2 linked regions of the Oryctolagus cuniculus genome follow. The protein of the gene in region 1 binds, or shares a complex with, the protein of each later gene. Links are inferred from orthologs where the notes say so. Each region holds a gene or a part of one and is shown on either strand. Other genes may lie near its edges.

Evidence for each region. Proteins that work in one complex are often made in the same cells at the same time.
Region 2: the proteins of SIRT5 (region 1) and PRDX1 are in contact, whole or in part, in a crystal structure (PDB 8Z54), measured with the Homo sapiens proteins. The link is inferred for Oryctolagus cuniculus from reciprocal best matches to the Homo sapiens genes SIRT5 and PRDX1. Residues at the interface, in NP_001363727.1 of Homo sapiens: Ala86, Tyr102, Arg105, Gln140, Ile142, His158, Val220, Val221, Trp222, Phe223, Gly224, Glu225, Asn226, Leu227, Leu232, Val253, Val254, Tyr255, Pro256; in NP_001189360.1 of Homo sapiens: Phe195, Ser196, Lys197, Gln198.

What each region holds. Positions count from the first base shown.
Region 1 is NC_091436.1:157,046,472-157,050,117, reverse strand, and holds part of SIRT5 (NAD-dependent protein deacylase sirtuin-5, mitochondrial), read left to right. Parts: intron 1-2,999; coding exon 3,000-3,225; intron 3,226-3,646. UniProt on the Homo sapiens protein: NAD-dependent lysine demalonylase, desuccinylase and deglutarylase that specifically removes malonyl, succinyl and glutaryl groups on target proteins.
Region 2 is NC_091438.1:127,368,858-127,372,603, forward strand, and holds the start of PRDX1 (peroxiredoxin-1), read left to right. Parts: upstream 1-1,216; 5' UTR 1,217-1,707; intron 1,708-3,201; 5' UTR 3,202-3,205; coding exon 3,206-3,311; intron 3,312-3,746. UniProt on the Homo sapiens protein: Thiol-specific peroxidase that catalyzes the reduction of hydrogen peroxide and organic hydroperoxides to water and alcohols, respectively.

The DNA.
Region 1 (3,646 bases):
GCTTCGGATCAGCGCAATGTGCTGGCCACAGCGCGCCAGCCGCGCCGGCCATTGGAGGGTGAACCAACGGCAAAAAAGAAGACCTTTCTCTCTGTCTCTCTCTCTCTCACTGTCCACTCTGCCTGTCAAAAAAAAAAAAAAAAAAAAAAGTCCAGTCTTGATTGAGACATAACACACACATAGTAAAATTCACCAGTTTTCCAACATACGGTTTAGTGAGTTTTAACAAATGGATGACCTGGAACATGTCTGTCCTTCTAGATTCCAGAGTATTCCATCACGGCCCTCTGCAGTGTGTCCTCTCTCATCCCCCTGGATTGGGCAGTGCCCAGCTTTGGAGGGCCGGGAGTGTCGTCCTGTGCATTGCCCTGTCCCCAGCGTCCAGAACTTCAGCCCAGGGGAGGAGCTCGGTAGACATTTGTTGGCTGAGCGGAGACAGTCATGAGTAATTAGCCCAAGGCGTGACCTCCAGATTGAGCAGGTGATGTCTTGGACGCGCCCCTCCCTTCCTGTGCCAGGTGTCCCAGGCTGGCAGGTGTCTGGGATGTTCGGTCCCCTCCCTGCTGCCGTCCAGGTGAGGCCTGCAAAGCGTCGCCTGGTGATGTGGAGATCTCTCAAAGGTGAAGCAGCGGAGAAAGAAGAAAAGCAGTCCAAAGGGCCCCGAGGAACGGGGATGGGGAGAAGCAGCGGTGGGGGGAGGGGCGATCAGAGGCCAGCAGGGAGAAGCTGGGAGGGCTGCAGGATGCTGTGGTGTCAGAGGTGGCCCACGGCTGTGTGTGAGCCAGGGAGTCAGTAGGACAGGTTTGCCACCACATACACCTTCACGTGCCGCCCGTCAACTGCTCCAGGCCACTTGGGTCCCAGTGACAAGCAGGGCGGGAGGGGAGCACAGGGCTGAGGCAGTCACCCACAGCAGCGACACTGCCATCCCAAAGGAAGGGCCTGACTGAGGTCGCCACCGTGGAGGGGCCATGACGGTCAGGTCACGCCAGCTCCGTGTGGCCACTGGTCCTTCCTTACATTCCCACGGTGAGCTGGGATTGGCTTAGAATGAAAGGCACACATGCACCGTGGGTGTGCAGGGTGATGAGTCTGACGGTGTGTGCACCTGAGGGTCACCACTGGATAGCCTCTTGTTCCCACGCCCTCTGCCTCCAGCCTGGACAAGCGTGGCTGCACTCTTGCAGTGGAGCAGGGGCTGGTGTCTGCTGCAGGGAGACGCGCGCTCTAGTATAGTCTGTATACTTCTGTTACTGCAGTGCATATACCTTTTTTCATACGTGCGTTGTGTGTCTACAAGGGACTTCCAAAGGGCCATGTGAAAAAACTTATGCCCATGCATAGTTTTTCTGAATTTTGTGCACCCCAATAAGCTTATCTTTAAAAAATGTTGAGTTTATTGGTTTTATTTATTTGGAAGGGAAAGAGACAGAGCTCTTGCATCTGCTGGCTCACTCCTCAGATGCCCGCAACAGTTGGGGCTGGGCCGGGGGAAGCCAGGAACCAGGGACTCGGAGTCTCCCCTATGCGTGGCAGGGACCCAGCCACCTGAGCCGTCACTGCTGCGTCCCAGGCTGTGTGTGAGCAGGAAGCTGAATTGAGAGTGGACAGGGACTGGGACCCAGGTGCTCCAGTGCAGGATGCGGGCATCGCAACCACTGCATGAATCGCCCGCCCAGTCAACTTACCTTTTTGTTCCAATTTCCACAGACTTGAGGTGCCTGTTTGTATGGATAGTTGTGTATATGTATACCCTGTGTATATGGTTGTGTGAACGATTATATGTAGTTTTGTGTGTGTGGTTATGTGATATGGTCATATGTAGGCATGTCTATGTCGTGTGTGCAATTGTGTATGTGGTTGTGTGCATAGTTGTATGTCTGATTTTGTGTGTATAGTTGTATTTATGTGGTTGTGGGTAGTTGTGCACGTCATGTGTATAAATGTGTATGTATGTGGTCGTATGTGTATAGTTGTATATGTGGTGTGAGTATATGTGGTTGTATGTAGTGTGCAGTTGTGTTGTGGTTTTGTGTGTATGTTGTATATGTAGTTGTGTGTGTATATTATAGGTATGTAATATGTGTGTAGTTGTGCAGATGTGGTTGTATAGTTGTGTCTGTGTAGTTGTATGTATGTTACGTGTATGTGGATGTGTGTAGTTATGTGTGTGTATGTGTGTTTCACTCTCGTTACCATTATAAAAGCTGACTTTCTCAATTACAGCCATTATACCACAATTGGGCATTTTGTAGTTCATATTTTTCCTGGGTGTATCTCAAAATTAGATTTACTTTGTATATGGTGGGGCTCAGGGAAAAAATGGATTTATATATGCTGGCTTTCAACGAAAAAATACCTACCTGCATCAGACTTCACTTCCTTGCATAACTTACCTGTGTAAGTGGGACAGGTGCATTATTCCTGCCCATCACCGGGGCAATCAAGCCCAGTCTCTCCAGGGTGCTGGGTCAGCCCAACAGCTAGGGGACCCAGGCCCCTGCCTGGCATCCGCCACCCAGTCCTCCTCTCAGGCAGACACGGCCCAGCCTGTGCCCCTATGGCCACCAGCCTCGGCTCAGAAGGGCCTGGGCTGGCCAGCACCATGGCTCACTAGGCTAATCCTCTGCCTGCGGCGCTGGCACCCCGGATTCTAGTCCCAGTTGGGGTGCTGGATTCTGTCCCGGTTGCCCCTCTTCCAGGCCAGCTCTCTGCTGGGGCCCGGGAGTGCAGTGGAGGATGGCCCAGGTGCTTGGGCCCTGTACCCCATGGGAGACCAGGAAGAAGCTCTGGCTCCTGGCTTCAGATGGGCGCAGCACGCCGGCCATAGCGGCCATTTGGGGGGTGAACCAACAGAAGGAAGGCCTTTCTCTCTGTCTCTCTCTGTCTCTCTTTCTCTCTCTTACTCACTGTCTAACTCTGCCTGTCCAAAAAAAAAGAAGGGCCTGGGTGCCGCCCCCTCCCTCCTCAGTCCCTGACCCTGCCCCTCTCCCACCCAGGACCTGGCCACCCCTGAGGCCTTTGCCCGCAACCCCTCCCGGGTGTGGGAGTTCTACCACTACCGGCGGGAGGTGATGCAGAGCAAGGAGCCCAACCCTGGGCACCTGGCCATCGCCGAGTGTGAGGCCCGGCTGCACGGCCAGGGCCGCCGCGTCATGGTCATCACCCAGAACATCGACGAGCTGCACCGCAAGGCTGGCACCAAGAACCTTCTGGAAATCCACGGTGAGGGACCCCCAGCCTCATGGGGGGAGGGGAACAGACTTTAAAACTGCTCTTCCAACACAGTCGCTGGCTCCTGCCCCCTCGCCTCCCTGCCGCACACCTGACTCACCCGCACGGGATGCTGCACTTAGCAGCCGCCTCTGGTGACCTGGGAGACCCGCCCTTGCCCCGGCTTTCCTGCCCCTGCTGCTCAGACCATGGTCTACAGGCCAGCAGTGTGCGTTCAGCCGCTGAAGCAGGACCTCCGTTTGCCCAGAGGAGCACTGTGTGACCCTGTCCTTGGCTTCTGGGGGAGAGTTGTGGGGCTGGGCCAACGGGGCACGGGATCCACAGCAAACGTGAGGCCAGGCCCACAGGCAGCAGTGGCTTCAGCAGGATTGGGGCACAGAAGACCCCAGCACCTGTGGTGTGGACCTGCCTG
Region 2 (3,746 bases), on another chromosome or scaffold:
AACCCTTAAGTTCAGCAGTATTCTGAATTTTTAAGCATGTGCAACAAAAATTCAGCAATTCAGCACCTTTTTGGCTACTGATCCTGTGTCAAACCCCACTGTTTGGCCTGGGCACTCCTACCCATTCCACCATTGTAAGTACACAATGGCACACCCTACTTTTTAATGTGGTATTGTTTAGATACCTGCTGACTTTTCAGATATGCACATAGCCTTGATGACCTGGGTAGTTTTGTTAGCAGAGATAGCTGCTCAGGGGTTCTTGTCTTTATGCAAGACAAGAGTTTCAGACTTGAGATAGTAGCAGTAAGCAAGGTAGCAAGGTTGAATGAGGTAGGGCATCCGTCAGAGCGGTGGGCACCTCTCCAGTGGATCTGAGTGTGCCGTCACTGACTGGGGCGAGCCAGGTAACAAGGCAAATGAAGAGAAAACCTGACAGACCAGGCGGGCATCTCAGCAAAGAACTGAGAGCTGAGTGTCCTGCGCATTTAGACGTGGGCGTGTAAGGGTCTGGGGTCTGGGTCCCCCCCCCCCTTCCCCTGGACAGAGGGTTTGCTGGGTGTGAAGTAGGTAAAATTTCTCTCTAGGTCTTATTACCCAATGATGTTAGCAGACTGAATTCTCCTGGGTGTGCTTTCCTTGGGGAGAAGGCTGGGACCACCTATAAAGTAATGGGGTGCGGGAAGGACTTTGTAGTGGAAAACTATGGGCTACTTCCAGGCTGACGGGGCTGCTACATTCCTTTCCACATTCCTCCTGCAGGTGCTTTGTTTTCCTTAGGCCCCTTCCGCACCCAGAGGCTAATTTCTGTCTTCCGAGCAGTTTTACAGATGTTCTTAAAATGAACAAAGACAGTTCAAACCTCTTGATTTGCATGAGTTTGCGAGGTTTTCCTGGTCTAAAGAATAGCAACCATTTTCCCAAAACACCCGAGGCTGCTTATAGGGAGAGCTCAATTAAGTGTTAATGTTCCCATTTTACAGGTGAAGAAAATTAAGGCTCAACAGCGTTGACACCGCCTAAGGTTACATATAAAACGATAGCGAGGCATTTTACCCCAAGACATTGTCTACAGAGCTCCAGCTTTTAATCTACAAATTTGAGGAATCACATCATCTGCTTTCAGAAATATTCCCTTCAGCAGCTGTGGGAGGGACCACCGGAACAAGGAACCCTTAAGAGAACAATTTAAGGGTCTAAGGGCCGAGGGCAAAGGCTGTGGGGACCTAGGCAGACTTGAGAACTGCTTGGAAAGACAGCTCTTAGGGCTGGCTGTAGTTAGACGGGTCCTCCGCGCGCAGCAGCGAGGGTCCTCAACCCGGTTTGGAACTTGAGGGTACAGAGCACAGGGGTCCTGGAAGTGGGGCATCTCGGTCTCTTTCATAAAGGAAGCGTTGAGTTTGGGGACGGTCAAGAGGAACCCTCGCTCTCCGACCGCAGCCACGGAGGCAGGGCGGTGGGCTCCACCTTTTGAGCCTTTGCCCACCGCAACTCGGGAAAACGCTGAGTCATTCCCGCGGAGCGCGATGGGCGGGGCGGGCTCGGCCCGGATCCCCCTCCTCTCCGCTCCTCCCACACCCCCCGGCCCGCTCCGACTCTCGCGAGAACGCTACAAGTTATAAAAGCAGCGCCCCGCGCGGACTGCGGGCTTCGTCTTCCTGGCTCTCGACGATTCTCTGTGTCTCTCAGACTTCTGTGTTGGAACTGGTGAGTGCGTGGGCCTCGCGGTCTGGAGGAGCTAGGTGCAGCGCCCCGTAACACACCTGCTGGACTTTACCAACTCTTGGGCCCTGCCCGTGCTCGCGTGGGGGTGCTGTGAGGCTCCCGGGCCGTGCGCCCGCCCACGTGAGGCCCTCGTGGGCGCGGGACGTGGCTGAGCCCCGGGTTAGCGTAGATACCCTGCACCTCCTCCCACACCCCAGGCGGAGGGCGTTCGTGGGGGTGGGGGGTCTCCGACAGCTGTCCTTCAGGCGGGGCGGTTCGGGAAGCTTCGGTCAAGTACGTGCATCCTGACCTGTGGCTGTAGGAGACAGCGTGTGCCTAGGCCACTGTGCGATGGGGTGAGGGCTGTGCCCGGCCCTGCTAGGAAGGTCTCCTCTCCGGCATTTTCTCGTTTGCGGAATGGAGTTCGTGCTGATTCCGGTGCCCTCGCTGAAGACTGCGCACTCTGTCCGCGGGGATGGGGCGGAGCTGATGGCGGGAGTGGCCGCCGAGCACCTGAAGTGGCAGTGCTGAGCCTGGGCGTCGCCGCGATCTCGGGCACATCAGATCCTTTAAGTCCAGCAGCCTGTTGTGCAGGTTACTTGGGCTTTGAACGTGGGGGGCGTCCGAAAAAGCAGGTTTGGGCAAGAAGGCCCATTTTAGGATCACACCCTATAGTTGATCACCAAGTTTCAGCATGCTATTTTTTTTCTGGTGAAAGATGTTAAAAGATATCTTTAAAAAAAAAAAAAAGCGTACAGTGTTTTCCAGGTGCAATACTTAACGTTTCCTTTGGTTTTGGTAACAAACTCCAGAAACTGTGGGACTTGGAAAATTAGCTGCTTGAGTTTTCAGGCGGATGACTTAGTTAAATCTCAACTCCTTGTCTTGGTGTGAATCCAGGGCAGTGTTTGTTGCTTTTTAGCAGTAAATTGCCTCTTGTTCTTGCTTTTACCCCCAGGATCTTGGCTGGGAAGTGAGAAACTTATTTTGAAAGGACTTGTAGGGCAACACCTAAAGTTGGGTTGGCTTTTCATTTGTGTGCTGTCTTGGACAGACTTAACCTGGAAAAAGGTCAGTGTGCTTCCCACATTGTAAAGGCAGCTGGAGGCACAAAGCCGACTGTTTTTGGGAGACAGGCGTTCAGTCCTTGTGCCACTTTACATTTGGGTTCTAGTTTGAAACTCCATCTCCCTCCCTCTCTGTAAAGTGAATATACAGAGCAAAATGCACTTGCACAAATAGTTCTGAAACAGAGTTGACCTTGGTGTGGTAAAATAACTGCCATGCTGTTTTCAGATTAAACAAAGGTTCAGATTGACACTTGTTTTTTGTTCTAAAAGTTGGAAATTTCAGTTTTTCACCCTTGATTGCTGGCCTGTGCATCTTAGTAGTGTAAAATTTACTCAGGGCTATTGGACAGTTCCTTGATTGATGTACAACTAAGTCTCTTAAGTAGGTGAAGGCTTGCTTATAACTTTCTGTTATTCAAATTGATAGCAAAATGTCTTCAGGAAATGCTAAAATTGGGCACCCAGCCCCCAACTTCAAAGCCACAGCTGTTATGCCAGATGGTCAGTTCAAAGACATCAGCCTATCTGACTACAAAGGTAAGAGTAATGAGTAATTACATTGGGTTTAATAAAATGCAATTATCTTATAATGCAGGGATGGCTTGTTAGATTTGTGCCTCTGTTAAGTTTGACCTTAGGATGTTTTACATAACCTCGGACAAGGTCTATTTTTTTTTTTAAAGATTTTATTTATTTGAGAGGTAGAGTTACAGACAGAAAAAGACACAGAGAGAGGTCTTCCTTCCATTGGTTCACTCCCCAAATGGCTGCAACGGTCAGAGCTGCCCCGATCCAAAGCCAGGAGCTCCTTCCCAGTCTCCAACACGGGTGCAGGGGCCTAAGCAGTTGGTCCACCTTCCACTGCTTTCGGACAAGGTTTTTTGGAAGCTGTTGCCATCATGTTGCAGTAAAGTGATTATCAGTGATCACAGGGTAGCTATCCTAGGTTCAGACTACTTACGCAGAAAGCAC